Schizosaccharomyces pombe: one gene and its partners. The gene in region 1 interacts genetically with each later gene. Each region holds a gene or a part of one and is shown in the gene's direction. Other genes may lie near its edges. The genes, in order: gad8, sst6, hse1 and top1.

What was found.
Region 2: of gad8 (region 1) and sst6, changing one suppresses a phenotype caused by changing the other (phenotypic suppression), as found in Schizosaccharomyces pombe (one study listed by BioGRID).
Region 3: of gad8 (region 1) and hse1, changing one suppresses a phenotype caused by changing the other (phenotypic suppression), as found in Schizosaccharomyces pombe (one study listed by BioGRID).
Region 4: of gad8 (region 1) and top1, a mutation in one rescues a mutant of the other (synthetic rescue), as found in Schizosaccharomyces pombe (one study listed by BioGRID).

Annotation. Positions count from the first base shown.
Region 1 is NC_003421.2:910,796-919,172, forward strand, and holds gad8 (serine/threonine protein kinase (AGC family) Gad8), read left to right. Parts: upstream 1-1,704; 5' UTR 1,705-2,321; coding exon 2,322-2,343; intron 2,344-2,414; coding exon 2,415-4,102; 3' UTR 4,103-4,443; downstream 4,444-8,377. Other genes in the region: SPOM_SPCC24B10.06 (uncharacterized protein), read left to right, coding at 53-203, 269-464; SAGA complex subunit Ada2, read right to left, coding at 4,587-5,900; rps1702 (40S ribosomal protein eS17), read left to right, coding at 7,069-7,071, 7,136-7,531; yta4 (ATPase Msp1), read right to left, coding at 7,977-8,377. UniProt on the Schizosaccharomyces pombe protein: Involved in a signaling module for sexual development and cell growth under stressed conditions. Required for G1 arrest under nitrogen starvation and for growth at high temperature and osmolarity.
Region 2 is NC_003424.3:4,773,705-4,781,372, forward strand, and holds sst6 (ESCRT I complex subunit Vps23), read left to right. Parts: upstream 1-1,984; 5' UTR 1,985-2,133; coding exon 2,134-2,190; exon of another isoform or gene 2,191-2,229; coding exon 2,230-3,636; 3' UTR 3,637-3,734; downstream 3,735-7,668. Other genes in the region: met14 (adenylyl-sulfate kinase), read left to right, coding at 88-556, 663-802; SPOM_SPAC1782.12C (uncharacterized protein), read right to left, coding at 982-1,230, 1,287-1,363, 1,460-1,490; protein mug162, read right to left, coding at 3,735-3,794, 3,833-4,252, 4,305-4,443, 4,550-4,725; SPOM_SPAC11H11.03C (uncharacterized protein), read right to left, coding at 5,477-5,780, 5,819-5,963, 6,319-6,481, 6,537-6,545; pheromone p-factor receptor Mam2, read left to right, coding at 6,984-7,668. UniProt on the Schizosaccharomyces pombe protein: Component of the ESCRT-I complex, a regulator of vesicular trafficking process. Binds to ubiquitinated cargo proteins and is required for the sorting of endocytic ubiquitinated cargos into multivesicular bodies (MVBs).
Region 3 is NC_003423.3:1,070,161-1,077,591, forward strand, and holds hse1 (ESCRT-0 subunit protein HSE1), read left to right. Parts: upstream 1-4,218; 5' UTR 4,219-4,238; coding exon 4,239-4,366; exon of another isoform or gene 4,367-4,410; coding exon 4,411-4,486; intron 4,487-4,659; coding exon 4,660-4,879; intron 4,880-4,937; coding exon 4,938-5,635; 3' UTR 5,636-5,793; downstream 5,794-7,431. Other genes in the region: rhp18 (postreplication repair E3 ubiquitin-protein ligase), read left to right, coding at 98-1,261; TRAPP III complex subunit Trs8502, read right to left, coding at 1,411-3,267; yea4 (NST UDP-N-acetylglucosamine transporter), read left to right, coding at 6,187-7,137; ipa1 (mRNA processing protein), read right to left, coding at 7,279-7,431. UniProt on the Schizosaccharomyces pombe protein: Component of the ESCRT-0 complex which is the sorting receptor for ubiquitinated cargo proteins at the multivesicular body (MVB).
Region 4 is NC_003423.3:2,939,102-2,947,772, reverse strand, and holds top1 (DNA topoisomerase I), read left to right. Parts: upstream 1-3,176; 5' UTR 3,177-3,192; coding exon 3,193-3,205; exon of another isoform or gene 3,206-3,258; coding exon 3,259-3,359; exon of another isoform or gene 3,360-3,405; coding exon 3,406-5,736; 3' UTR 5,737-6,039; downstream 6,040-8,671. Other genes in the region: HOPS/CORVET complex subunit, vacuolar sorting protein Vps33, read left to right, coding at 693-749, 795-1,473, 1,514-1,786, 1,838-2,607; SPOM_SPBC1703.13C (inorganic phosphate transporter), read left to right, coding at 6,807-7,742. UniProt on the Schizosaccharomyces pombe protein: Releases the supercoiling and torsional tension of DNA introduced during the DNA replication and transcription by transiently cleaving and rejoining one strand of the DNA duplex.

The DNA of each region.
Region 1 (8,377 bases):
CTCTGTCTTTATATTTTGTGACTATGTGAAATAGCTAACTCAGTATATTTAGCTAATCGTGTTTTGCCCTCAAAAATTCCTTTGACCCCATTTGTTAAGAGGGATGATGATTCTAGTTCAACTCAGGCAAGTTACTCTACTACTGTGAGCGATGTTGTGATTGTCACCGACAAATCTTGGTCGGATGGTGTAGAAACCATTTTGTAAGTCATGCTTGTCATTTTATGGAAACTATTTGTTTGTGTAAAATTACTAATATTATTTTTAGTCCTTATAGTTACACCGAATATCAACCATCTACTACTTACACTTCTGCACCTGCCGGATCCATTGGATACGCAGCATCCATTCCCAATACAGGGCGCGAATTGATGGAGAGTGGGTCCCCTGTCCGGTTTTCCAAGAGTTCATTATTGATTGTTTCACTCTTGAGCATTGCTGCTTTTGCCGCTTTAGTCCTTTAAAAATTCAACCGGAACCTACCCCCTAACATTCACCTGAAAATTTCTCTTTAGGGATTTTCTAAACTTAGATATAGTTTTTGATTCTACTTTACTCTTTTAAAATTTTTGTTGCTACTTACACTGTCAATTCTATATCTGCGCTCGATAACCGGTTTCTTTTTTTAGGCGCTTTGGCAAACTCGTCTCATCCCTTTAAATAAAACACACAAAGGGAGCTCTCTGTGAGAAAATTCAAAACTCTGAAGAAACATCGCTTTTACTAGTGAGGAGCCTTCTAGAAGTAACTACGAAAAGAATTTGCTTTTCTCATGGGTAAGTAAGGGTTTGCCTACAGTTGAGTGAGTCATCAGTTTCAACAAATTTCGTTCTTTTCATAAATTCATTGTTCATGTTTTATTTCTGTTTTATATGTTATTTTATTTTATTTTATTTGAAAATGTTTTTTGTTTTTCAGTTCTCTTTGGATTTATATACACTTTGAAGGACTTGTACGAAGCGTCCAGTGTATTAAAAGTAGAGCATTGGTATACAAATTGCTTTTCCGTTAAATTGCTTTATCTTTTTTTTTCGCTTGTTGCACAAGGAACTGAAATTTTACAAAACGCATCGTACTTGGAAGTTGCAAAAATCTGATGGAAGGCATAAATAAATGACTTGTTTTGTAAAGAGGATATTGCAATCCTAACGGTGGTATTTACATGCTTCTATAATTATTTTAAAACAAATAAAGTTAATTGGTCTGCTAAGCTACACATACGCGTAAACGGCATTTTGCGTTTGTCCGCAGATAATTGTCAAGATAATTATTTGTATTGTTTTGCTATATACTTCGTTTTGTAAATTGATCCATTTGAGTGCTGTTTCTTGACACGTGTAGTATAAATCCTATGTTTCAATTTAGGTCACTACAAACTTGAGCAAGTTACCACTTACAAGAGTACACCAGCACTTTTAATTTCTCTATATTAATATTCCATCTTTTTGACATTACTAAGTTAACTAATTTAATAGCTGATATGTAAAACACCATTGCAAAGAACTTTTATATATAGTGCAATCGTACGAGAAAAGGGTCTATAATTTTTGATCATTATACGACAAACCTGCGTAATGTGCCGACCGTATCGGTAGCTCTCCTTATAATATTTTATCGAACTCACGTTGTTCTGCCGCAAAAAGCTGCTGTCTTGTACCACTTGTATTTTAGGAATACGGATGATCCGAGCTGGCCACATCTACTGACTGCCAATACGACCTAACAAAGGGAATATCAAACGAAAGCATTTTTGACATCAAATTTTATTTCATTGACTTTAACGTATTTAGTGCTGTCGATTGGTTTCAATTTCGTCAAAATTTCCGCGAGGTGAAGGCGACTTTGCTCAAAGTCGTAATACCAAAATCGGCTTAGAAATCGACTTTATCAACGAAGCATTCCTTTAGTAGGGATTTTGGAATAAAAGAGATTGCGATTTATTTTGAATTTTAAAATCAACACCCTTGCTTACTACTTATCGGGATTAGATTTCTTTGACGAATTTACTACTATACTGACATTACCAAACGCCTGTATCCCCTTTCGTTTATTCAAAAAAAATTGCAACTTGTGCTTACTTTTTATTTTATTTTTTTTTTGGATTTGATTTGATTGTTCGTTCGTATTCGCTTACTGGTACACTTCCCGTTTTTGTCTTCGAATTAGTCCATAAATACGTTTTTTGTTAGATTGAAGCTTTTTTGCAGCCTCGTTACCTTATTCTTTATCATTTTCGTTATATTAAAAGAAAAGATAGAGGGAAAGCGAGCTTTTAAAAATCAGTTCATTTTTTTTTTCTACTCCAAACAGACGTTACCGAAATGTCCTGGAAACTTACAAAGAGTATGTATTCCATAATACGGGTTATCACACTCTGTCTTTCTTTTTCATACTAACAGCTTTTCGCTTTTTAGAATTAAAAGAAACTCATCTAGCATCCGCTATTGGCCTGAACTCTGGCGGCTCTAGTTTTACTAGAGGTCTGAAAAACAGTACTTTATCCTCTACTTCTTCTCGTAAATCAAGTGATGAAAAATCTCGGAAAAGCTCGGAGGATAAACGGTCTCCCCAAAGTACCGTCGTGCAGCCTGGTTTATTGCAGGTCACAATTATAGAAGCTAGAAATTTAAAATTACCGTCGGGACATGTTCCTGCCAACTACGGGGTTTCCATTGACAATTCTTTACTTGCCCCTCCACTTAGTAATGGCTCGGGACACGCAAGGTCTCGTAGTCATGCTTGGTGGTTACCTTATATCGTCGTTGAATTCGACAAAAATGAAATCTTAGTAGATGCTCTAAATACTGCAAGCCTTGAAAATCCTTGCTGGGATTATCAGGCAACTTTTGACGTTTCCCGTTATTCCAAACTCTCCCTGAATATTTACCTTCGTTCTTCATCCAGCCGCTCGCGCAACGGTATGGGGAATGACGCTTTCCTAGGCGGGATTAAACTGTCGCCTTCTTTCATTGTAAACAAGCTTACAGACGAATGGGTACCCCTGCATGGGGGTAGCGGTGAACTTCGTGTTCAAATGCTTTACAAACCCAATCAAAGTACCCCTTTAACCATTGATGCATTTGAACTATTGAAAGTGGTTGGCAAAGGCTCTTTTGGAAAAGTCATGCAAGTGCGTAAGCGTGACACTTCTCGTATCTATGCTTTAAAAACTATGAAAAAAGCCCACATTGTATCTCGCAGTGAAGTAGATCACACATTGGCTGAGAGGACAGTACTTGCTCAAGTTAATAACCCTTTTATTGTTCCATTAAAGTTCTCCTTTCAATCTCCCGGTAAGCTGTATCTTGTCCTGGCCTTTGTTAACGGTGGTGAGTTATTTCATCACTTACAAAGAGAAGGCTGTTTTGATACATATCGTGCCAAATTTTACATTGCTGAACTACTTGTTGCTTTGGAATGTTTGCATGAGTTCAACGTTATTTATCGAGACTTAAAACCGGAAAACATATTATTAGACTACACCGGTCATATTGCTTTGTGTGATTTTGGACTTTGTAAGCTAAACATGGCTAAAACCGATAGAACGAATACTTTTTGTGGCACCCCTGAATACCTCGCTCCTGAATTGCTTTTGGGTCATGGTTATACAAAAGTTGTTGACTGGTGGACTTTAGGTGTGCTACTTTACGAAATGATTACAGGACTTCCTCCTTTTTATGATGAAAATATAAACGAAATGTACCGAAAAATTCTTCAAGATCCCTTGCGATTCCCAGACAACATTGACGAGAAAGCAAAAGATTTATTGAGTGGATTGTTGACCCGCGCTCCAGAGAAGCGGCTGGGTAGTGGAGGGGCGCAAGAAATAAAAAATCACCCTTTCTTTGATGATATCGACTGGAAAAAGTTATGCGCCAAGAAGATACAGCCACCCTTTAAACCAAGCGTTGAATCAGCTATCGATACTAGTAATTTTGATTCTGAATTTACATCGGAAATCCCAATGGATAGTGTTGTTGCCGATTCTCACTTATCTGAAACCGTTCAACAAAGGTTTGCCAATTGGAGCTATCAACGACCAACAACCATTGATACATCCGACGACATTAATACAATAGCACCTGGAAGTGTCATTAGGTGATGAATTTGACACTTCTTTGTTTATTTTGAAAGTTTTCTCATTTTTACTCATACATGCCGCTTTTCTTGCCTCTTTTACATATTTGTATGTTATAAAGGCCAAAGCTTCGTTCATTTCTCATTATTGTCATCTTTTTTTGTCGTACAAGATCATTTTCTATTACTATTATTATTATCATTATTATTATTATTATTACTGACAACCTCAAGTCTTTGAAGATTATTTATTTTTTGTCAGCTGAGAAAAAGTCTCAGATATTGTTGGATGTAGTGTTTTTTGTTCTTGTAGTTTCCGAAATTACTAGTGTAGAAAATTGATGGAAAACTCTTTTTAATTATTAAGCATAAGAACGTAACGGCTATTGAAAAGGGAAAAAAAGACGGAGATGTAATTAAAGGTGAAGGGGTAATTAGTAAAATTACATTTCAAAACGTAAAGGTAATAAACAAGAGTAATATGAAAAAGGTAAAAGAAACCAGTACTTTTAGGTTGGAGCGCCAATCCACCGAGCATTATGGAAGAAGTCGTACACCTGTTCGACTTTATTAGCGTCTAAGTGTTTAAATAAATTAACTGCATCGGTTTTTTGAAATGGTTTTTTGGAAGTCAGTGAAGCCGATATTAAGGCAAATTTTAGAGCCAAAAATGGTTTAGGGAAAATCTGCAGTTTTGAGCAAAGCGCTTGCTCATCCTCTGAAAGCAGTTGCCGATCAGCGGAAGCAGAAAACATTGTGGGAGTCGCTGGTTTTCGAGGAACAATCTTTTGAATGTCACGAACTTGAAAAGGAGCGGAAGTGGTTTGGTTAAACGACTTAACATGCCTCAATTGCTTATCATATGAAGCAGAAGCTTTACTTAAGAGGAATTTTTGCGTTTTATCGCGTTCATATTTATGTCCTTGTTCGAGTGTAGTAAGACCCATCTGTCGCCATTCCTGTAAATCAGAAATTTGTTTTTTTAGGGTTATTTGCTCGTGATAGCTGTTCACGAACTTTTGGTAATCAGGGCCCGTCAAAAGTCGAGCAAATGCTTTTGTTTTATTAAGTAAGTTTCGTTCCTCTTTTGACATGCGCTTCTCATTCGCCTGTAGCCGTCGATAATCTAAAAGGTTGTGATTGAAAATGGTTTGTTTACGAACAGCCCGACGAGTAAGACGGGAATTATATATGTTAAGCATAGTCAGCTTAAGTTGCATTTCATGCTTTGCTGACTCGTGTAAATCGTCATCAAAATTCATATCCTTTATGGGCAGTTCAGCTTCGTTCATGTACTCTTGATCAAATTCAAGACGGCCCGGCATATAGCCTTGGATTTCGTGGCATTGGGGTGTAGATGCTAGAGGCTTTTGAGGAATAATCGGTGGAGGCTGAAAAGCTTCAATACGAGCTCGTTTCCGTGCCGCAAATGCTATGCGATCCACCGGTCCAGGGAGCTCTACGCTTGCTAATGGATAGCAATCCGACTCAATATAGGTTTTCAGATAATGATCCCGACATTCTTCTTTCGTCCGAGCATTTCCCACATAGTCTGCAATGTCAGCCCAGTTTCCAAGGCCCAGTGTTTCACAAGCATCGATTAGTAAGAGTTCCTCATCAGCACCCCAATTTTCGTCGAAAATAGGGTATGAATTGGTTTCAATAATCCTATACGGATGAGACGGATGGTGAGTTCCTAGGGAGGCACCAGATGTAAAGCAGGGGATGCACAAATCGAAGTCAACACATTCTACGCACCGAATATGAATGGATCTTGTTATATCTTGGGCGCAGACGTTGCAATGATACTTTTGAGGAGGCATCCTGCTTCATGTGCAAAATTTTTCGTCCCTATATGGTGGAGCAAAGTGATGATCCGATGCGTAGAATATCAAAGAAGCTTGAGTAAAATGAGAAGTAAAAGTTGGATTTCAAATATGAAAATTAGATCATTAAACTTAGAAAACTCTTTTGAATACGATTTATTAATAATGGTGGCTGAAGTTGAAGTTTTTGACTTTTCAATATCACCACCAGCAATTACTAAATACGATCGAAACGTGATTGCAATCAGAAAATAAGTTAAAATTCATTCACTGAATAGTTATTTTTGTTTAATAAAAAAATCTGTTGCGTTATATATGGTTTCTTTAACCGGAAGACGGCTTCTGTCTGTCGATAAGGTAGAATCAGAAAGAACTAACTCAGAGTATTAAAAAAACAAGAAAAAAGCAATTCCGGCTTATCAAACGAATCGATTCTGTAAAAATATCACAAAGTTGACATTTACTGGATTGAAGGTCTTTTCTTACTGCCGAAGCGAATGTTTATTTCCCTTTCTCATTTTGAAGAGCACCTGCACTGTCTTGTGCTATGCGACTAACAGGTCCAAGGTTTTTCTCTATTTATATAGCTATGATATTATAATTTCAAATACCATGTTGCCTTTTGGAACAGTTTTATTAAAAGCGTTTTATCACAATATATTAGCAGAGAAAACTATAGTAAATTTCTACGAACATTTTCACGGCTAAAAGTCATTGATTTAACATTAACGGAGTTCAATGCTAATGAATATGGCTTTGTTGTCAATTGCTTTATGTTTATATCAATTACAAAAATCAGTAAAATAGATCTTAACAGAGAACTTCTCTGCAATCACGACTTGATGAATAAGAGAATAAACCATAAATATGCTATGTTTAGTTAGCGTATCAAACATAGTGAAACGTAAAGTTTTCTGGACTTTTTATCGTTAATTAGATTAACACAACTCTATAGTGTTTGTGGTAATTGGATCTTAAACTATTTTACATAATGCTTTAGTATTCTTAATAATTATTATATCGCGCTACGATACTTTGTTTTACTTAAATTAGTATTTTGTAATAAACAAGAATATCTTTATTCGATAAACTAATTTGGACTTGAAAGCAGTCACACAGTACAAACTCAAGAATTCAGTGTAGTAAACTCATCACAGGAACAGAAATGGTAAGGCTTTCAATAGAATAGTTAAGAAACCGGTTTGAGGATAGAAATTACTGACAAAACATAGGGTCGTGTACGCACCAAAACTACGAAGAGAGCTTCTCGCGTAGTTATCGAGAAATACTACCCTCGTCTTACATTGGACTTCCAAACCAATAAGAGGATTGTCGATGAGGTTGCTATCATTGCTTCCAAGCGTCTCCGCAACAAGATTGCTGGATACACGACTCATCTTATGAAACGTATCCAACGCGGTCCTGTCCGTGGTATTTCCTTCAAGCTTCAAGAAGAAGAGCGTGAGCGCAAGGATCAATACGTTCCTGAAGTCTCTGAGCTCGAGAAGGACAAGATTAACGTTGATCAAGACACCAAGGATATGCTTAAAGCTCTTGGCTACGACTCTATCCCTACTGTCGTTGTCGCTGCCTCTCGCCCTGAGCGTCCCTTCCGTTACAGACACTAAATAACATTTTAAAAAAAATAAGATGTATGTTCTTTTGAACTGTCACGGTTATTTATTTTTGTGATGCATTTTGTACCATATTGTTGTATTTGTATTCATTTCGATTTGTAGACAGTAAAGTAGGTACGTAAAATCGCTCCTCTAGAAGCTCGGTAGTTAAATTTATTGTACATTTAGTTTAGACGATTTCAATTTTTTCATTTTTGTTTTTACAATCTTACAAATTTACTAAGACCGTTCGTTGTGAATATGATACCTACTGAAGATGAAAGTGCAATGGGCAGAAGTCGTTTAATAAAATAATTAAAATTGGCTGTTGTACAAACGCTCAATATGTTGACTTGACATATTAAGAGAAAAGGAAACTAAACGGTAGAATAATAAAACAATTCAAATTATGATAAACCCTGAGACGTAAATTCAATAAATACTTTTTCTAATAAATTCACTCGACGTCTATACCGGAAACATTTTGTAAGGATTCATAATGATAAAAGTCTTCCGTCTTCAAAGACCTCAAACCGCCTGATTGTATGTCATATTTGATTGCTTCCAAATCATTTCCATGCTTGTCAAAAAGCTCTCTGCGTGGAACTGATAAAGCAGATCTACAGACTTCCTTGATATATGAGCCAGACAGTCCAGCAGTGGCATTAACAACTCCATTCCAATCAAAGTTCGCTTCTAACGGTACCTTTTTTAAATAAAGTTCTAAAATCTTGCGACGCTGTTCGGCATTTGGAAGAGGTATGGAGAATACTTTAGGCATACGACGCCGAATGGCCTCGTCGATGTCAGCTGGTCGATTAGTAGCACCCAAAACAAGAACCCGTGACTGACCACTCA
Region 2 (7,668 bases), on another chromosome or scaffold:
AACAGTTGTAAAATATTTTTCAAATTCGTACCATTTGATTTTTCCAACAATTAATTAGAAGATTGGATTTTCACATTTTTGTTTACGATGGCTACTAACATTACATTTCACCCTGGTTCCGTCACTAAAGAAGAACGTATCAAATTTGTGGGTCATCCTGGTATGACCATTTGGATGACTGGATTATCTGCGTCTGGAAAGTCTACAATCGCTTGTGCTTTGGAACAGTATTTACTTCAGCGTGGAGTTACAACTTACCGTTTGGATGGTGATAATGTTCGTTTCGGCTTAAACAGTGATCTTGGATTTAGTGAACAAGATCGTAACGAAAACATTCGTCGCATAGGTCATGTTGCCAAGCTTTTCGCAGATGCCTGTGTAGTTGCAGTAACTTCCTTCATTTCTCCTTATCGCAAGGATCGTGATCAAGCACGCGAATTTCATAAAAAAGATGGACTTCCTTTTATTGAGGTTTATGTTGAATGTCCAGTGGAAGTTGCCGAGCAGCGTGATCCAAAGGGTTTGTACAAGCGTGCTCGTGCTGGTGAGATTAAAGGTAGGTAATTGTTACACATTAAAGATACTTTTTCCCCTCAGGAAATTCCATTTTCTCAATGTTTTTAAATAGATGACCCTATAAAATTAAGGCTAACCGGTTTTAGAATTTACAGGAATTTCTGCTCCCTATGAGGCTCCCATTTCTCCTGAAATCGTGGTTTCTTCTCATACTCAATCGATTGAAGAGTGTGTTGAAAAAATCGTCAATTACTTGTTGGAAAAGGATTTGATTACTTTGAAGTAAACACGTTAACTCATCTTAAATACTTGTATTCCCCTTATATCCTTTCTCTCTTTTTTGTTCGCTTACTTGGGACCCAATAAAATCATAACATATTCTTTATCTGCTAGTATTTTAGAAACGACATCATTAATACTTGCGTCTGTACTGGTAAAACAAAAAGCATCTAAATTAAAGCTCTCTTAAACTAGCATTGTAGCCCACCCTGTAAGCATCACTAGTCCTCCAATTGGTGTCAAGGGCCCAAGAATTCGTCGCAGACTATGTCCTTTAGGCAATAAACAAAGTCCATAAATTGTCCCAGAAAACAAGCAGCTTCCTGTAATCAGCAGGGGTCCCGTCCAACGAGATTTCCCGTAAACTGGATGCAAAGAAACGGCCATGGTTGCCAATGAATGGAACATCAAGTAAGTACAAGCAGTGGACCATGACTATAATTTTATGTTAAAATAGTTACAATCATGAAATAAAAATGCATAAATCCTACCTTCAATAAATGTGGATCCTGAACACGTTTTTGCAACCCGTGAGATCCATATGCACCTAAACCTACGCTGAGCAGTCCTTTTTTATTGTTAGATAACGTAAAATAGGTTGTTTAACAAAAAGTAAATGTATATAAAGGTTATATACCAGTCTATTACTTGTGCTAGAACCTACCTGTCAATGCAGCTACGTTCCAAATTGTCATTATTGATAAACAAATATCAGATAATTCTTTCAATAAAAATGCAAACTGCTCGGTTTATTGCCGTAATTAACCTTTCAATAGTCTTGCAATTGTAGTATTGCTGGTGTTAAAAGAGAAGTGGAATACGTATGTGAGAACAATGATCCTCAATTATAGTTGCTACCTTAGTTTATATTTATGGATACGACACATTTCCAAAATATTGAATAAGAAATCTGAGCGTATTGGTACTTTGTGAATTTTTCATAACTGCTCCTATCAGTCTATAAATTCATATCCTAATATTATATACTATCAGATCGTCAATTTCAGAAATTGAGTATGTAGCACTTAAAATAAACTTGGCGTTAATGTTAATATGGCATCAATTGAAAATAATCTTGAGTATCGTTACCTGTTTTATCGCTTGATATAACGATATATTGTAATATTATACAGTTTATTTAAAAAAGAGATGCAGCATTGACGTTATTTATTACAACGATAAAATGCGTAAAGAAAACGACCATCTGTTCAAAATCAATTTCACAAGTGGTGCTTGCAATTAATAGGTTTTCGAAAACCAGCTAACTTTATTTGATTTCTTTAAATCCTATAAGATTTAATCACGTGCTTGCATAAGTGCGCCTCGTTTCTTTTTACCATGTCAGATCATGCAATCAATGAACACCCTTCACGAATTTTGAATACAATTGAAAAGGTACCGCTTGTTTTTTTACCAATTTAACCTGAAAAATAGATTAGATTTTGGAAGAATGGACTTGCTGAAGAACTAGAATTATTGTTTAGAAAACAATGTGAAGACACGTTTACACTTCAAGCAATTAATATTGAAGTAGATACGCAAGACGAAAACAAAATAGAAGAGGTCCGCATTTATTTGAGTACTCCAGCATTTGACAAAACAATTTTAACCTCGGCTTGTATAACGGTTCGCTCTTATTATCCATCACAGCCGCCAATAGTACAATTATTGGATGAAAAAGGAGGAAAGCATAAGTACACAAGTCTTCTACTACAACTTTGGAAAAATGAACGGTCTGTTTTTAATATCTATCGTTTAGTTCAAGCTCTAATAAAGCAAGACTTTGAAAGAGAACATACTTCTCCTCCTGAACTGCCGACAAAACTCGTTAATACTATTGAAAAGCTCAAAGTGAAAGAAGAAAATGAAGCTCCTCCTGTTATCCCTGCTAAACCATTCTCATCTTCCTCTGAACAACATTTCCGAAAGGTGCCTGCGTTACCTTCCAAACTACCGCCTAAGCCTTTAAAAATTACCGCTAATAGTTCCTTAGGACAAGAAACAAATTCCAATTCTTCCTCTTTTCAAAGTACGCTTTTTTCTCTGAATACAGCACCTTTTTCAGCTACATCACAACAGCTTGTTCACGATTCTGTTTCATTGAGGCGACCAAGTTCTAACATTCCTGCCCAAAAACCTATTCCACCAAAACCTGAACAAAATGAGATAATAATTACCAAAGACACGCCTTCACTTAAAGACAAATATTCAAAGCCTGCTCTGTTACCGCAAAAACCCAAAGTTTCTAAAGGTCAGATCGTTCAACAAGTTTCAGTGTTCTCGACAGGAAAAAAAATTGAGTCCCAAAGTTTGCTCAACCTTATAGATACAGATATTGAAACCCCTTTAAAAGGTTCGTCTGAGCTACTGTATTCAGAAGACTTTAAGCCCAATGTTGACCCTGTGAAAATTCAGCAAATTCTACATAAACAGAACAAAATTATTGAAGAAAAATGGATTTCACAAATACGAATATCTAAAAACTTAGAGGTTAAGCAAAGGCTTTTGGATCAAGAAAGACACGCTTTAGAAACACTTGCTAAAAATATTGAAAACAATAGATTCATCTTAGGAAAAAGAAGGAGAAAAGCCAGAGAAGCCCTACAGAAGTTGGACAATTTAAAAGACTTATCTGTTCAAGAACTATTTATAATACCCTCCGAACGAGAACTAAAATATTATGAACTTAAACGTAAGGACGAAAAACTGGATGAAGGAATTCGAGCCCTGAATCAGGCCTTGCATCATGAATCAATCATGCCCGCATCTTGGTTAAAGGGAATAAAGCTGTTAGCTAGACAACAATTTTTAATACGGGACGAAATGCTTCAATACTCTTAAGATTATAGTGATGTGAATTTCAGTGTCGACATTTTTAGGAATATATGGACAAGATAAATATTATTCTTTTATTTATTTTTTTGTAAAAAATATCTCCATTACCAGTAATTTCGATAATCATCGTCCTCATAACTTAGGTTTTTAAAATTTTTCTTTTCCTAGAAAGGTTAGATTGGATAACATAATTTTTGCTTACAATTGCATAAATCCATATACTAGGGAAAATAATTAAACAGGAAGTTAATAAATTGAAGTAAGAAATAAGTGGTTTTGCTGTAATTAATGAACCCGTATTTAAAAGAAGTACGGATAATCCTGCAAGAAATCCTAGTACAAAATCCTTGGAGTCAATCAACTTAATCCAAATATACAAATTAATAACCCATAATGCAAATAAATGATAGGACAAATGTACTCTGCCAAGTAAAGGAAGCATGTATTCAGAAAACTTAAGAAACAGCAGAACATTAAGTATGAAGTGCAGTTTGATAGGAATTTCAATTATGCTGATTATTGTCCAATTTTTATTTTTTAAAGATAGAGATTTAATTGACCTTATATTAAAATAGCAAGCAGCGGAAAAGCTTATGAAAGCGAGTTCCATGCAACCAACTCTCTACAATCATTAATTAAGAATTCTCCAGAAAATTTAATAAATAAATACATACATCAAAAGAATACCCAAAAAATTCCATCATCAAGCCATAAAACATAAGGCTGGAAACTTGGAACACAGAATTTTGAACGGCAGAGTATTCGTTTGCCGAACCCGCTGTAAATATGCAATCTGCACAAAGAACTGTTCCCCTGATTGAAATAGTTAGAACTTCTTCATGTTAAGATTCTCATGAATCTCAATTAGTTAAAAAATACGCCGGAAGAAAGAAATTCCTTCCGACATAAAATAAGATACCTAATGTATATCCATAGAGATGGAGAAAATGACCATAAGCTAGGATTTACTAATTGTAAAGTTTTTAAGTTCCAAGTTCCTATGTAGCCTAACAATATAATAAGAATATCGAAGAAAATGACAATACGCAAATTATTCAAAGCTGTGAGTCTTTGTTTATAGACTTCATCATCCATGATTGCGGAAGCAATTTAAATATTGTCAAATTAAAATATATTCATTCGACAATTATTTTCAGCAAATAAGCTTGAAAATTGTAGCTGTATTTAATATATGTCAAGGCAAGGCAATTTTGTGGTAAATAATTCGAGCAAAGAATTGCGAGCTTACGTACAGTAGAGGTACTGACTATTTACGATTAGTACTACCCTCTCTATCAGCTTAAAGAATAATAAAAAAAAATATATATATATATAATTCAGTTGAATGTACTAGTCATTGTTTACGAAATTTTATCGAACCTAAATTTATTATTATTATTATGTGTAAACAATTTTCAAATTTATGTAACCGTTTAATGAAATTGATATAATCAGTTGTTAAAATTAATGAACAACAATAAACAAAATTTAAATAAATTAAATTATACAAAACTTTTAGTAGGCAATATAATGCTAGATTTATTATCTTTAAAATAATAATAAAAATGAATTTTTTACAAAAAGCAGAGAAAACCTATTAAAAAAATATTCCTATAAAATAATCTATTAAAAAAAGTTTCAATATTTATTTGAAATAAAAAAAAAATCCTAAGGTTGCAACAAGCAAAAAAATCTAGAGCCTAAATTACCCAATAAATACAATAATGACCGAATCGAAATAAAAGATTAATACACAGACACCTGGCTAATAATTTCACCGCCTAAAATTTTGTTGACCCAATTTGGTATCCATGGTCGCCTGTGTTAACAAGCAAAAAACAAACTGTTACATGATGGCACAACATGTTTTTAGACGAGGAAAACAATTCGTAGCAATTTCTTCAACAATTTTTTCAGGCTCAACTTGATCAGTCAAAGTTGAATGTTGAGGACGAGAATATGCTTCTTGAGGTTCTTGAATGCAATTGAAATTTGGTTGAATAGGTGAAGTCGCAGATGGTAAATAAACATAAATGCGGCCTTCATTTACTTCACTGTTGTATTTTATAGATTGCTGCTCAAGCATTCGCACAATTGCAGGTCGTAGTTTTTCCACATGATTAGCACTGTGATTACCGCGCCCAACTATACTAAAAAAGAGTTAATTTTAATTAAGCGTAAAACATACATATGTAAATGATTGTCACCACGTCGGATGCAATTCTCAATTCGCTGTTGTACTGCTTGTACAGCTTCATCGATGTACAGACCATGTAAATCAATTTCATCGGGATTGCATTGAGAGTTTTTATATAAATAAATGGCTGAAGCCGCTATCAATAATTAGCACAGTCATAAAACACTTCTATTTTGTTTTCTCGAAGCCAATATGGGTTTGAAGAAACCCAGTGTTTTAAGTTCTATAAAGAAGCCAACCCATTTTTCTCTTAAATCACATGGCTTTATTCAGCTGTTTCAGAGCTCTTCACTTTGTACAAAGAATAGTTCATTGTCATAACTACTATTGTTTGGCGTATTGTCTGACCGATAACTACCGGAATTAGATACCAAACAAAAAGAGTGGAAAAGAAAGAAAGAAAAATCTCATGATGGGTTTGTTTTTCTATTATTGAAAGTTTATAGGGTTTGAACTAACAATCACAGCTTTTAATGAGAATTTGAGATTACCTTGTCGATTATAATTTTCCATACGCTCTCCACATAACTTTCCTTCTTGGCTTAGTTCATGCGCTTTAGCCTTGTTTCCTGCTGAATAGGCATGCTGAGCTTCTTGAAATAAATACCCTCGTTTTTCAGCCTCTTTTGACGCCAACGCTCTAAACTTTTCATACTTCAATAAAGTTAGTTACACCTAATTTCTCCTTATCTCTTTGATTAATAATTACCTCCTCCATTTCTATTGTTTCAGGTGTGGTACTAGACAATGAAGTTAACAATAGGAAATCTGAACAATGGAGTACCACAAAAAATGTTATATAATTCAGCTAGATCTCTGACAAAGATGAAAAATAATTTTTAAGAACTGTCTAAACAATAGTAAATCCTTTTGTTTTTTGTTTCGAATCTGTTTAAACTACAATTTTGCAATTGTTCGAACAGCATTCCATTGGTGTGTTTTGAGTCCATATATTTGGAAATTTGCTGTATATCTTCAAGCGAAAATTTAACTTTTGAGACATAGAAGTGTTTTCTGGAAATTCTAAACAAAGAGGAATTATTGGCATAACAGTTCATTGGGAAACTGAGTCATCAAGTGCTTTACAAATCACATTTTTAAACTTCTTAAACTAAAAAAATCTCGGGTTTATATTGTTCTTGCTCCCTCTGACATTATGAGACAACCATGGTGGAAAGACTTTACTATTCCCGATGCATCCGCAATTATTCACCAAAATATTACCATTGTCTCTATTGTAGGAGAGATTGAAGTGCCAGTTTCAACAATTGATGCATATGAAAGAGATAGACTTTTAACTGGAATGACTTTGTCTGCCCAACTTGCTTTAGGAGTCCTTACCATTTTGATGGTTTGTCTATTGTCATCATCCGAAAAACGAAAACACCCAGTTTTTGTTTTTAATTCGGCAAGTATTGTTGCAATGTGTCTTCGGGCCATTTTGAATATAGTGACCATATGCAGCAATAGCTACAGTATCCTGGTTAATTACGGGTTTATCTTAAACATGGTTCATATGTATGTCCATGTGTTTAATATTTTAATTTTGTTGCTTGCACCGGTCATCATTTTTACTGCTGAGATGAGCATGATGATTCAAGTTCGTATAATTTGTGCACATGATAGAAAGACACAAAGGATAATGACTGTTATTAGTGCCTGCTTAACTGTTTTGGTTCTCGCATTTTGGATTACTAACATGTGTCAACAGATTCAGTATCTGTTATGGTTAACTCCACTTAGCAGCAAGACCATTGTTGGATACTCTTGGCCCTACTTTATTGCTAAAATACTTTTTGCTTTTAGCATTATTTTTCACAGTGGTGTTTTTTCATACAAAC
Region 3 (7,431 bases), on another chromosome or scaffold:
TTAAAAATTTACCGTCCGAGAGTGCTCTTACGAATCCCTAATTAAGTTTGAATATTAGTGCATATTAACTATTAATGGGTTTGCAATTTAAAATAAGATGAATGAACTAGATGCTACAGATCCATCTGATTGGAACCAAACGAAAATACCATCGTTGAAGGGCTTGGATTCTTCTTTACGATGTCTGATTTGTCATGAATACTTTCGCGCCCCCTTAATTACTTCTTGCTCACACACCTTTTGTTCGTTTTGTATACGCGATTATCTGAGAGAACATCCTATGTGCCCTGCTTGTCGTGCTCCTGAGCAAGAAAGCCGCTTAAGAAAAAACACTATATTAGAAGAGATTTTAGAGTCCTTTAAAGTGATCAGGCCAACATTGTTTGAATTCTTAAAAGTAGAAAATGTGCCAAAGCCAGTACTTCAAGCTCCTGAAACAGTTATCGCACAGGATTCAGCTTCTGGCGATGAGGAATGGGAAGACGACTTGGCTTCAAATTCATCTCCTGCTTCTATAGCTAAAAAGACATCTAGGGATTCTAAAAAGAGGAAACGTGAGGATTTAGTTCACTGCCCTGCATGTTCAAATTTAGTTCCTCATAATCAAATTAATCAACACTTGGATTCTTGTCTTAACTCACCTTCTTCCCCGTCTTCCTCTTCCTCACCTTATAAAAATAAGGATAATAGTAAATCTAATTCATTACTATCATTCAAAACAGATGATGATTCTATCACGAAGCGCAGGTTAAGGTCGTTTAACTCTGCAGATGAACTACCCTTGAAAGATCGAGTGCGGCTTCCCAAACTAACTTATGCACTCCTTTCCGAATCAAAAATTCGTTCCAAATTATCAGAGATGGGGCTTCCAACCGATGGACATAAACAACTATTACAACGTCGACATGCTAAATGGGTTACCCTTTACAATTCTAATTTAGACCAGAAACAACCTGTTTCAAAAAGAAATTTAATTCGCCAACTTATAGATTGGGAGCGCGTTCAGTCGAAATCAATTGGAGTAGAAAAAGAAAAACTAGGAGGGGGCGATTGGGAGAAGGCATACGCTGAGGATTTTGCTGATCTCATCAACCGTGCAAAACAATCAACAACTAACAAAAATGATTCATTGAGGAACACTGCTGTTGAATCTTCCACCGAACCTTCTACATCTAACGGTTTTCCTGCCACTTCAGTTAGTCCCCCTCTTACTATTGACCTTACCAATTCACAAACGGGATCCGATGGACCACAGTCCTAATCATTAATTTTCGTTGGATTCGTTTTAACGAATTTTCATTATCAGATTAACTTATTAGTTTATTTCGCTATATATAATCACATTAATAACCTGTAGAAATTTTGATATTTGGTAAATAAAATAATATACATTTTGAAAGTGGGGCATTTCTAGCTAGAAGGAATATTAGAAGCAGGTTGTTTGGAGACTTCGACTTCGTCAAGTGCTGCAACACACTCCTTCAAATCCTTCCAATCGATTTTTCCATAAAACAATTTTGCTTCCTCTACAAAAGGCTTGGCACGAAAGGGAATGCGACATCTCAACCAAGCATCGGCAGTTAATACACACCAAAGTGCGGCTTTACGAGTTCGCTTATTAGAGAACGGGTCCGTAGATTCAGTTTTTAAATAAGAAAGGGATTTAAAGAGAGTGTGAGTTTGTTGAAAGATCATTGCTCTTCCTACAGGACCCAATCTCTTAGAATAAAGCAAACCTGCATTCCAGTTAGCAGCATCGTCCACTTTTGGAGCTGGTAAACAACTAAGGAATTGTCCCAGGAGAAGGAAACAGCGCGCAGCATGATAATAGGAATTGAAGGATTTATTCAAATAATTTAACATAGCAGATTGCATATACTCGTTTATTCTCAATGTGTTCGTCAAACTCATATATGGCATTTTTAGGTGTAAAATATGTTCAGTTATTACAATCATTTCTAGAGAGGCAGCAGAATATAAGCAAGCACCATCATTTTCATACTGTCTTGATGCAATTTCATAAATCTGATTTGCATGAGAATAATCTCGTAGCATGAAGGAATAGTCGGCAAGTTTCCTAAGATATGCCTCTGGTGAAAATGGACGATAGGCATTAGATGAGGGGAAATAGTTAGAATTGGTAGAAGCATTCGAACTAGATAAATATTTTCTGGATGCAAATAACAGCTTACCGGTAATCCCTCGTCTCGGAGAAGCATATTGATCATCCCATGCTCTTACGCATTTGTCCAAATAAGAGACAATTCCGTTGAACGCAATGTGCGAAGATAACCGTCGCAGTGATTCATTGTCGGATTCAAAGAGTAATCGTATTTCAGTATCCGTATTAGATAAAAGGTGTAAACGTTCTTCAGCAGACAACCAAGAGGATGTTGGAAAAGGAACGGTATGTTCATAATCTAAGGTAGCCTTTTGTGAATGAAGGCGAAGAAAGTATCCACAATCTCCAAATGTCTGCTTCATCGTATCAAATATAGCCATTGAAAGCTCCAAATCATGTTGATCTTCATCATGAACATATACGAAAAGGTAGTTTATATCATTGAAAACGAAAGCAGGAAGGGAAAGGTAGGGAATCGAATTAATCAAAGATCTGAGAGATTCAAAAGGACTAGGATTATGCGAAGTTACTACGACAAGGTGAGCAACGGGATGAGAAAAAGTTTCAAAAGGAGTAATAGGTATCCCAGTTAGTAACTGTCGCACATAGACAGGAAGTGGCATTTGGTAATTCCCTTCATGAGCCAATGTCCAAGCCCATCGTTCAACGTTTTTATAATGAACGCCAAAGGAATAATCTGAAGGGGGTTCAGGTGAAACAAGACCTGGATATCGCTCACATAAAACCGAGCGAAGTGAAGGAAAAGATGCTTCACTTAAGTGGCTTTCTAAAGCATCAATTGGGACAAAATGTAAATTTAAATTTTCCAACGTCAGCATTTCTCCATTCATTCCTCTACGGTTTACCTTTCCACGAATACGGTCTCCAAAAGGATACAACAATTCCCAAAACCCCTTAGGATATCCCTTCCTCATGGCAAACTCGTCAGCATCTCGGGAACATAGGACCGAAACTCGCGGAGCATATGCTTCTTGGATGATGGAACACAACTCCTCCATCGAATACAGTCCTTTCGACTGCATTACCTTTTCAAGATCTTCTGTTACGGGCTCTTGAAACAATTCCCCTGATGCATTAGCACTTGCATGTTGAAAAATACCTTTGGCGGAAAGGTTGCTTTCCATATTTTGCTGAGTAAATGTCAAATTCAAGCTTTTTCAATTAAAAACTCGAAATCCGACACTTAAATGACTTTATTACAAAGCTGATGTAGTGAAGAATACATGCAATGCACCTTTATCAACAAATTTTTTAGACTAGAAGTTAACTACCTCAAGGGTATATGGAGAGGATGTACGAGATTTGACAGCAGACTAGGTCACTACATAATTAATTGAATATAAAAAGAAAAAAACGATTTCATTTAATAAAAGTCTAATTAATCAAATTATGAGTATTTTGTTCGTATATTAGAGAGCTATGTAAAAGGACTGTACCGATCATCTAGACGACAAATATCGTACATTGAATTCACCTAGTTTGAGCCTTGAATGCTAACCAATGCTAAATGAAATGTAATGCTTTTTGGTGAGCTTACATATTATTTAAAATAATGAAATAAATATAGTAACAGCAAGCTGCGACTATAATACACTAGTTTTAATAGATATATAAATGAATTCTCAAATTGATATATGAGGACAAGGGTTTAATGTTGCTTCATAGTTTTATATTCATCATCATTCGTTAGAAAATCTAAACACTTGACCGATTAGAGTATTGCAGTATTTTAAATATACAGTTTGCTTGAGCATGAAAATACAACTCGGTAGTGAAACTGTCTTTTTATTCTAAAAGGAACCCAAGCTTAACCCAAAAAGTATAAATATTACTGAATATTTAAAAATTGACTCGTATTTTTGAACCAAGAATAATAAATCGGCTACAAGTTCTTTTTTAGAAGCACCCATGAATGTTGACTATATAAACCAACCACTTTACCATGCTTTTGAATTTATCTAAATAGAAATTTATTAAATTCACCTTTAACAGAACAAGTAGCAATTTGATTGATCTAAAATTTCTCGATTTATTACAAGGTTATATATATGTCTTGGATAAGCATAGTGGTCGCCGCCATCTCTTCTTCACCAATATGTTTCGAGGAAAACCCAACTCTATTGAGACCCTTATTTTACAAGCCACTGATGAAAAGAATACTAAAGAGAAATGGGACGTTATAATGGATGCGTGCGATCAACTATCTAGCACTTCTGGAGATGTGTAAGTTAATCGTAATCAGAGTCGTTTCACTAACTGGTTGGTAGTGGTCGGAACTCGATTAAATTTTTAAATAAAAGGCTGGATACAGCGAATGCTAATATTCAATTGTTGGCTTTGACGGTATGTTTGTACCACTTTTGAGGAGGAGGAAGCAATCAATTTATGATTATTCAATCTGGAACCACTGAGAATACTATTGTCTGTGCTTTACAAATTGTTTATTGTTCCTTATATCAATACACTCTATTTTAAAATGAATTGCGCAAATTTACTTTATCTAACGTTTGTTTTAGCTTACTGATGCCATTGTGAAAAATTGTAAGACTTCCATTGTACGAGAGATCTCCTCTAGAACATTCACGGATTCTCTTTTGAAAATAGCTAGTGACTCTACAACTCATAACCGAGTGCGTAGTAGAATCGCAGTTCTTGTCAACGAATGGGCTGAAATAATGAAAAAAGATCCCAACATGAGTCTTATGCAAGATATTTGTGAAAAAATTAGAAAGCTAGGTAAGTTTCATGCACGTTTGAATGGACAAGTTAAAGATAATATGATCTAACCTCTTAGATATCGTTGATTTACGAGCTCCTAAAAAGCCAGAAAAAGAAGCGATGAATGAATTAGAACTCAAAAGAGAAGAAGAGGAGCTTCAATATGCTTTAGCATTATCACTTTCGGAATCGACCGCGCAATCGAATAAAGTGGAAAACCCCCAATCCACTAAAGATGAACCGCTGCAGAAAACGAACCAACGGCAGGAATCAAACTTAGCTACTTCTCCTGCTTCGACAGTTTCTCGCGTTCGAGCGCTTTATGATTTCGCGGCAACCGAGCAGGGCGAACTTTCATTTAAAAAGGGAGATATTATATTAGTCCTGGAAAGCGTGTATAAAGATTGGTGGAAAGGTTCTTGCAAAAATGCTGTTGGAATCTTTCCCGTCAATTATGTGCAACGAGTCGTTGAGCCTACCATTGAGCAGCAACGTCAATCTGCACATATGGAGCAGCAAGTTTTTGACGCGCTTCCTCAAATAGATGAACTACTTGATACCTTATCGACTACCTCTCCTGATGCTGCCGATGATGATGCTCTTCAAGGAAAATATCACGCGATGATTGCCCTGCGTCCAAAGCTTGTAAGATTAATTGAAAAATACGCATCTCAGAAAGAAGAACTCATGGATCTGAATGAAAGGCTTTTAGTTGCTCGCCGTGATTATGAAAAACTTTACGAACAGTCAATGTCTGAGATGAGGAATTTTTAAAGCTAATCATCAGCTTTTTGCAAGTTAATGTTTTTGCAAGCAAGTGCTTAGTTATTATGCTTTTATTTAATGGTTATAATTATTGAGATATTTTTAATAAAACAATTTTTTTTATTTTAATTTACTTTCTCAATTAAAGGTTACACGACTGTTAGTTTTAACAAAGGTGTAAACGAATCTCATCGATCCTATTTTAAAAATAAAAATATAACTAGAATAAACCTTTTTACAAAATTGCGTTCTAAAAAATATGTATGAATATAATAAATACCAAAACGCGCGAAAGCAAAGCCCGCGATTGTCTAATTGTCTTCACCTCTACACTTCCCTTAAGCCAAATTCGACCTCAATTTACATATTTGTTACATAAGAATTAACTGATTCTTTTTTACACATTCTTTTATTTTAACAGACATTATTTGTTGAAGCCTTTTGTTCATTTTGGTATACTACAATATAGCAGTCGATTCTTTTATTTTCCATAACTTTAGGATTACCAAGAAGCTGACATTGGTTCACAAATACTATAATTATCCAAAGGAAGCATTAGAATGATAGCATCTGCATTGTCTTTCATATTTGGAGGTTGCTGTTCAAACGCATATGCGCTTGAAGCACTCGTGCGAGAATTCCCAAGCAGTGGTATTCTGATTACGTTCTCGCAATTTATACTGATTACTATTGAAGGCTTGATATACTTTTTGCTAAACGACGTTCAGTCATTGAAACATCCAAAGGTGCCGCGTAAACGATGGTTTGTGGTTGTAGTAATGTTCTTTGCTATTAATGTTTTGAATAATGTGGCCTTGGGGTTTGATATTTCAGTACCAGTACATATTATTTTAAGAAGTAGTGGACCTTTAACAACAATGGCGGTTGGCAGAATCTTAGCTGGTAAAAGATACTCAAGTCTTCAAATTGGAAGTGTCTTCATACTTACTATTGGTGTCATAATAGCAACGTTGGGGAATGCGAAGGACTTACATTTGCATGTAGAATCAATGACTCGATTTGGCATTGGATTTACTATTCTGGTGATAACTCAAATACTTGGTGCCATCATGGGATTGGTATTGGAGAATACCTACAGAATATATGGCTCAGATTGGCGTGAAAGTTTATTTTACACTCATGCTCTTTCCCTTCCTTTCTTTTTGTTCCTTTTAAGGCCCATAAGAAGTCAGTGGAATGATTTATTTGCAATCCACACGAAAGGGTTTTTAAATTTACCTTCCGGAGTATGGTACTTGTGCTTCAATACGTTGGCTCAGTACTTCTGTGTACGTGGAGTAAACGCGCTAGGGGCAGAAACATCAGCTCTAACAGTCAGTGTTGTTTTGAACGTCAGAAAATTTGTGAGTTTATGTCTTAGCCTCATTCTCTTTGAAAACGAAATGGGACCTGCCGTAAAATTTGGGGCTTTGTTGGTGTTTGGATCCAGCGCAGTATATGCTTCTGCTCGGTCAAAACCAAAAACAAATGGATTGAAAAAAAATGATTAATTTACATATACATACTATGTGCATAACAACTAGATATCAAAAAAATAGACGGTTCATTTCTCTTTCAAAAAGGATACATTAAAAAGTATTTAACTTTTTGAAATAATTGCCAATTAAAAATTTAAAAGGATACATGACACATTAGATCATTTGTTTATGAAATTTCGGCAGTAAACCGACTTTCCAAGGACCAAATTTTTGAGCAGAGACCGGAAAAGAAAGATTTCCTTTTTCCAAAACATGAGAAATTTCGTCAAAGGCGTGACTTGAAACGGGTATGTCCATCCAATCCTC
Region 4 (8,671 bases), on another chromosome or scaffold:
TACCATTAAAAACAGTGTTTTGGCCAGCTTTCACCAAGCGCAAAAAACATACATGTTAACGAAACAATTCAATTGTTTTTTTTTTAAACTCTATGGTTCATGAACAAATCTTGCAATCATTGATAACCTTACTGATGCTACAGAAAAACTAAATCTCGGCGAAACAATTTTTTACATTATTCAAATGACATCGTAGTAATCGTTAATTCCTTCAATAATTAAACAAGATAACTCAACACACACTATAGTTACGGAATAATAAATAGATTTTGCTAACTTAGGTGCTGTAACATTACTTTCAGTTTGCCTTGTCAACAAGTTTAAATAGCAAATTAAAAGAAACTAGTTTGTTTGAAACTATAAAACCTTTTAGCTTAAAAACGAAATGAAAAATTTTCCTAATTTTATCAATAAAGTAGTTTTTATTTTATTAAGTATTGTTAGTGAAATACAATTGCGATGCATGTCAAGAAGCTCTTAATTCACTATACATGTTTTAAAGTCGCAATACCTTTTAAAGTTAACAATAACTGTTGGAAAAATCATTCCGTTCTTTTCTATTTTATTTACGTTGTGTAATATTAACATCTAAGGGTTTTGCTTTGTGAAATCAAGTGTCATTCTAGTGTTTCCCTCTACCTCCATTTAACTGCAGACGTCCTAAAGAGTTGGTGGACTCAATTCATGGCTTGATGACTACAGACGTTAAAGAAAAAGCTACATTTAAGTTGTTAGATTTAATAGACAGTGTATGTGGATTTGAAAAGTGACATGCTAATGATAATGTGTTAAAGGTTACTGGGAAAAAAAGTTTGCTCTTGGAACGTGATCTGTCAGGAATTTTAGGTCAAATAGTTACTACCAATACTTTACAAGAACATGGAATACCTCAGGTTTATTGGTTTAATGAAAATATTCCAAATGATATTGAGAAAAAGACAATCTACTTGTGCAGACCAACTTATGAAAATGCCAAACTAGTTGCTACTCATGTTCGTCAATTTCAAAGGGATATGTTACGCATTGAGAGCACAGTAATTGTTTTGCCTACCTCAAATATCCTCTTTGAGACGGTACTGCAAGAGGAGGGTGTGTTTGGAGAATTACTTGTGACTGAATGGCCGTTACATGCCGTACCCTTGGACAAGGACCTTTTGTCATTAGAACTTGGTCCAGAGAAATTGGAAGAAAGCTTACTTCAACGAAGTACAGATGCTTTAATTGATTTTGAACGCACTCATGGACGGTTTCCTCGAGTCTCTGGGAGGGGCCCCTATGCTGCAAAAATGTTGGAATTATTAGAAAAAACATACCAGGAAGAAGCAACAATAAACTTTGGGAAGGTGGAAGGAGAGATTTCTGCTCTCTACGATAGCGTTCTTTTAGTTGATCGATCATTAGATCGTATTACACCGTTTTTGACTCAACTTACCTACTTTGGATTTTTGGACGAAATACTTGGAATTCAGCAAAGTATGATTCATATTTGTTTATTATTTATCTAACTGATTAGTGAATGTCAAACTTCCTTCATCCTTGGTTAACCGAAATGAAGCTTCAAATACTGGACCGATGAAAAAGTTTTCTTTAAGTTCTTCTTCCAGCCAAATTACCAAGGAAATTAGAGACATAAATTTTAATTGCATAGGCCCTTATTTAAGCAAAATTGCTCGAAAACTATCCAGCGATTTTGAAGGTCGACGTCAAGCCAAAACTGTAAATCAGATTAGAGACTTCGTTTCCAAACTGGGTTCCTTACAATCGGAGCATACATCATTAAATATTCGTAAGTATTTTTTTCTTTTGATTTCCATAAAAAATTTTATTAATTAGATAGACACTGGTCTCGCTGAAACTTTGGTGCAACACACAAAAAATAATTACTTTCAAAAGCTACTACAACTTCAGCATTTGCTAGTTTCTCATGCCGATTCTTTTACTCAATTCAATTTATTAGATGAAATTATCTATGCCGAAGCACCTGTTGAAGAGGTTTTTCGAGTACTTTGCCTTGCAAGTATAACTACCAATGGTTTGAGAAGAAAAGATATAGATCATTACCGTAGGGAAATCACTCAAACATATGGTTATTATCACCTTTTAACATTCCAAGCCTTGATAGATGCAGGACTATTGCGCCTCCGGCAATCCACTAATATTTCACTTCAAAAATCATTGTCTTATTCTACATGGTTAAACACTTATCCTTTGGTTAAGGACGAAGTTGATGAGCAGAATCCTGAAGATATAGCCTATACGTACAGCGGGTACGGTCCTTTGTCAGTCCACATAGCATATGACATTTTAAAAGGCAGAGACAATGAAGAAAAAATTCTTAAGTTGCAAAATATGCCTGGAACTTACGTTGACAAGTGGACATTAGACCAGGAAAAGGTCATGCCTAAAAATTTGAAGACAAACGTACCAGGTAAACGTCGTGTTTTAGTTTTTTTCATCGGTGGTTGCACGTACACAGAGCTGGCTGCATTTCGTTTATTGCAAGAAAAAGAAGATTTATATGAATTCACATTTATGACTACGGGAATGGTAACTGGAAGCTCTCTAATAAGAGCTTTTATTCCAAATATTGAATCTTTGAATGAGTGATGATCACCCAGTTTCATTAATTTGTTCAACAGCTAAAGACGATATTTAATCTCATTTTTTTTCACTAAGAGAATCCCATAATTTTAATTATTGTTTTTTTTATTAACCCACTTTATTAAGTCCTTAGTAGTTTATGAATTTGAAGTGGCATTAAAGCTTTCCCTATATGCTGTTAAGCTATTTGCTATTTACTGCCAAAATATTAGCTTACATATTAAATAATAAACCTCCAATATTTGGCAGCTAATGGCTTATTGTATCAATCAAATCACCTTTTTTTTGTTTTGGATATTCAGTGGCTTTTGGTATTGTTTACAATAAATGTAAAGTTAAAGCTTTCAAAATTATTAGAGATTACTTTTCTCGTACTGTTAATGGGTTTATTTTGAAATATGCACATTTATAGCTTTTTGCTGCAAGCTTCGTAACATTAAATTTTATTTTATTTGAAAATTCCAGTTTCTCATTTAGCTACTAATTTTTACAAACATTAATTGTCAATATTTGGTTGTCATGACAACGAGTGTACGTACTCAATATTAATCCTTCTTTTACTGTATTATAGATGTATGCAAACAATTCACAATGTCTTCGTCTGGTAAGGTTTCACGTAATTTAACAACATTTGCAAAATTTTTAACAACTGAAAAGATTCAGATTCCGTGTCTTTATCCATTAGAAGGAGGCAAAGACGCGGTTCATCTAAACGGATTAGTATGAAGGAGTCGGACGAAGAGAGTGATAGTTCTGAAGTATGTTCACAACATAATAATTAAAGATTGTTGACTAATTGTTTAGAATCATCCTCTTAGTGAATCGTTGAATAAGAAATCCAAATCCGAGAGTGATGAGGATGATATACCGATTAGAAAGAGACGTGCTTCTTCAAAGAAAAATATGTCCAATTCAAGCTCTAAAAAAAGAGCTAAAGTAATGGGAAATGGTGGTTTAAAAAACGGAAAAAAAACGGCGGTTGTAAAAGAGGAAGAGGATTTCAATGAAATTGCAAAGCCCTCACCGAAGCATAAACGTGTTTCTAAAGCGAATGGAAGTAAAAATGGCGCGAAGTCAGCTGTTAAAAAAGAGGAAAGTGACACAGATGATTCAGTTCCATTGAGAGCTGTTTCGACTGTATCTTTAACTCCTTACAAATCAGAACTGCCTTCGGGAGCTTCGACCACGCAAAATCGCTCACCAAACGATGAGGAAGATGAAGATGAGGATTACAAGTGGTGGACTTCAGAAAATATCGATGATACTCAAAAATGGACTACATTGGAGCATAATGGTGTAATTTTTGCTCCACCCTATGAACCTTTACCAAAGAACGTCAAGCTAATTTACGATGGAAACCCCGTAAATCTTCCTCCCGAAGCAGAAGAAGTTGCTGGTTTTTATGCTGCAATGCTTGAAACCGATCATGCCAAAAATCCTGTATTCCAAGATAATTTTTTCCGTGACTTCTTAAAGGTCTGTGATGAATGTAACTTTAATCACAACATTAAAGAGTTTTCTAAATGTGATTTTACCCAAATGTTTCACCATTTTGAGCAAAAGAGGGAAGAGAAGAAGAGTATGCCGAAGGAACAGAAGAAGGCAATAAAGCAGAAAAAAGATGAGGAAGAGGAAAAATATAAATGGTGCATACTTGATGGGAGAAAGGAGAAGGTTGGTAACTTTCGTATTGAACCTCCAGGGTTATTTCGTGGTCGAGGTAGTCATCCTAAAACTGGTTCTTTAAAGCGTCGAGTATATCCTGAACAAATTACCATTAATATTGGTGAAGGTGTACCCGTTCCAGAACCACTCCCTGGGCATCAATGGGCGGAGGTAAAGCATGATAATACAGTGACCTGGTTGGCAACCTGGCATGAAAATATAAATAATAATGTCAAATATGTCTTTTTAGCTGCAGGAAGTTCTCTAAAAGGACAGAGTGACTTAAAAAAATACGAAAAGTCAAGAAAGCTTAAGGATTATATTGATGATATCCGTAAAGGCTACCGGAAAGATTTGAAAAGTGAGTTAACGGTTGAGCGTCAAAGAGGAACTGCCATGTATTTAATTGATGTTTTTGCTTTAAGAGCAGGAAATGAAAAGGGTGAAGACGAGGCGGATACTGTTGGTTGTTGTTCACTGCGATATGAACATGTTACACTGAAGCCACCACGAACAGTCGTTTTCGATTTTCTTGGTAAAGATTCTATTCGTTACTACAACGAGGTTGAAGTTGATCCCCAAGTTTTTAAAAATCTAAAGATCTTTAAACGTCCTCCCAAAAAAGAGGGTGATTTAATTTTCGACCGTCTCAGTACAAACAGTCTTAACAAATATCTGACTAGCCTTATGGATGGACTTTCAGCTAAAGTATTTCGTACCTACAATGCTTCATACACCATGGCCGAGGAACTTAAGAAAATGCCTAAGAACCTCACCCTTGCAGACAAAATACTATTTTATAATAGGGCAAATAGGACTGTTGCAATTTTATGTAATCATCAACGTTCCGTAACCAAAAATCACGATGTTCAAATGGAACGGTTTGCCGAAAGGATTAAGGCATTACAATACCAGCGGATGAGACTGCGAAAAATGATGCTGAATTTAGAGCCCAAGCTTGCTAAAAGCAAGCCCGAATTGCTGGCTAAAGAAGAAGGCATTACCGATTCATGGATCGTAAAACATCACGAGACACTTTACGAACTAGAAAAAGAGAAAATAAAAAAGAAATTCGATCGTGAGAACGAAAAATTAGCTGCTGAGGATCCCAAATCAGTGCTTCCGGAATCTGAATTGGAAGTTCGATTGAAAGCGGCTGATGAGTTGAAGAAAGCGCTGGACGCTGAACTTAAAAGCAAAAAAGTCGATCCAGGTCGTTCTTCGATGGAACAACTTGAGAAAAGATTAAACAAACTCAATGAACGAATTAATGTTATGCGTACTCAGATGATCGATAAAGACGAGAATAAAACTACTGCTTTGGGTACAAGTAAGATTAACTACATAGACCCGAGGCTTACTTATTCGTTCAGCAAGCGAGAAGACGTTCCTATTGAGAAGCTGTTTAGTAAGACGATTCGTGACAAGTTCAATTGGGCTGCTGATACACCTCCGGATTGGAAGTGGTAAGTCCTCTACGATTTAAGAAAAGTATCTTTCATTGAACTTTTTAAAAAAAAATTATTTATTATCATCCTACGGCAGACAAATTGTGAAAGTGCTTCGTAATTTCGTGACTTAATGATGTCTTGAAATGAATGCTAGCGTACAACAACTTAGTGTGCTGAAAGAAGGAATTAATTACTTCTAGTTTAGTGTTTAATAAAAATTCATACAAAAAATGCAAAGCTAAGGAAGTTTTTTCAGCAAAAATATAGACAGAATAAAATTTAGCACAAAACAAATTGAACGTGACATTTCATACTATCCCCATTGCATTTGGCTTTTTTTTTCATAATTACTGTTTACTCTTGAGGTCTTTTTCTTTAATATTGGTGAAATGCCTGTTACGATCATCAAATTCAATATACAAGCAAACTTACTCTTGTAAACAATTTTTTTTTTGTTTTTTTTTTTTTACAAATAGAAAAGGAAAGAAAAGCCAAGCTGCTGCTTTTTTAATCTTTATACCAATTACTCTTCTTTGGTTGTACTAAATAGTTTTTCAAGCACTTCTATACCATCCAAATTACTTTTTTCTCTAGCGTTTACATTTGACTGCCTTTTTCGCATCTTTAAACCCGGTTTCCACTTTTTCGTTCTCTTTGTCAGATTGGCACAAGTTCCGGTATAGCAGAAATATCAGTGGAAGAGATTTTGTCTCACTATTTGCTGGAGCAATCCAATGCAACCACGAGCGGATACAATCGGGTTGGTAAAGATTAAATTACGTAAAACAAAGTATGAACACACTAGCATTTGGATCCTACCTTCTACGAGTACCTACATTTACTCAACCGGATTCCTAAATATTCATTTTTAGCAGTTTCTCAATAGGAGATAGCCTTAGTTGGAGATTTCTTTTTCTTTTATTTTTTAGAACTGTTTATAACGCAAACTCGAAGGTTTGTTCTTTGAACTCACGATAAGTTTTTTTTCTTGTGATTGTAAAGGCTTGTAGTCATCAAGGATCTTGAAACATAACAGTTGATATATTTTTCATTTTTTTTGTTTTAAAATACCCACTTTATTAGTTCATCATGTCTACCCCCTTGATACCTCCTGCTCCTCCTAAAAAGACCCTTCAGCTTTACACTCCCCAATACTACGGACTTTGTACATTGGGTGGTTTGTTGGCTTGTGGTACTACGCACAGTGCCATTACCCCTTTGGATTTAATCAAATGTCGCAAACAAGTCAATCCAAATATCTACCCTGGTAATATTGCTGGTTTCAAGACTATCCTCAGCAAGGAGGGACTTCGCGGTCTGTATACCGGTGGTATGCCCACCTTGATTGGTTATTCTCTTCAAGGCTGCGGTAAGTACGGTTTTTATGAGTTGTTCAAACACAAATACTCTACTTTGGTTGGTGCTCAAAAGGCACATGAATACCGTACAAGCATTTACTTGGCTGCTTCTGCCTCTGCTGAATTGTTGGCTGATATAATGCTTTGCCCTATGGAGGCTATCAAGGTCCGTGTTCAAACTTCCAACCCTCGTTTTGCCAACACCACTCGTGAAGCGTGGTCTAAAATTGTCACTAATGAAGGTTTCGGTACTTTATACCGTGGTCTGGCTCCTTTGTGGTTCCGCCAAATCCCTTACACCATGATGAAATTTGCTTCTTTTGAGCGCATTGTCGAAGCTTTGTACACCTACATTGGCAAGCCCAAGAACATGTATTCAAAGGCCGAAAAGATTGGTATTTCTTTTGCTGGTGGTTACATGGCCGGTGTTCTTTGCGCCATTATCAGTCATCCTGCTGATGTTATGGTTTCCAAGTTGAATTCCAACAAAAAGGCTGGTGAGGGCGCTGGCGCTGCTGCTGCTCGTATCTACAAGGAGATTGGATTTTCTGGTCTTTGGAATGGTCTTGGTGTTCGTATAGTCATGATTGGTACTTTGACTGGTGCTCAATGGCTCATCTACGATTCATTCAAGATTATGTGTGGTTTCCCTGCCACTGGTGCTTAAATGCACTATCGTATAGTAAACCTTTCATTTTATGGAACGTCGCTTTTTAAATTTCCCCCCACTTTCTCTTATAGGCTCTTAACAAGTTTTACTGTTTTATCAGTGTTTAAATTTATATGTAAATTTTGAACGTGTAGTTCCTTTTTCTGTAACTCTTAAGTGTTTTCAGGAGTATATATCAGCTTATGGAAGATGTGATTAGTATTTTAGCGTTTTCAACTAATGAAGTGAGTCATAAAAATTTGGGCTGTTGTGGGAATCGAACCCACGACCACCATCACCCTAAGATGGTATCATACCACTAGACCAAACGGCCAATTTGCATGTAAAGAGTAAGAGGAAATTATATTACAGATGATTTAGCAAGAAGTGTTTACAATATTAGATATGCAATAAGAGATTCAATTCATACAAATATTAATTGACTTCTTAATCCTGGTTCCATTAACTATTTAAATCGCAATTGACTAAATTGCGATTATACAGTTGACATAATATAATTTGTTCGACAACTCATGTGTAGTACTGTGTTAACTATTCGATGTTAAACCTTCATTGGCTTCTGTAGTGTTTTGTTTTTATCAATATTCCTCGCATTAATCGCTTTGATGTTAAATTTATTAACCTTGAATAAATACTACATTAACAAAATTTCGTATATAGCTTACAAAAAGAATAATGCATTTCGATTACCAAAACGTAAATCAGGTCTGATTGTTATATTAAATTTGGATTGTCATTGTACATTGATACTTTTCATTGTTAAAAAATTAATTCTATTATAACTTGTTATTTCAATTAGAAGAAGGGTCGATCAACTATTATTAATTATTGTTAAATCCTAAGTTCCCTAGTTTTTTAGCAAATAAACATGTAGAATTTAGGTTAAAAAAATTTTTCTCATTTTCAATTAAAAAATCTAATTTATA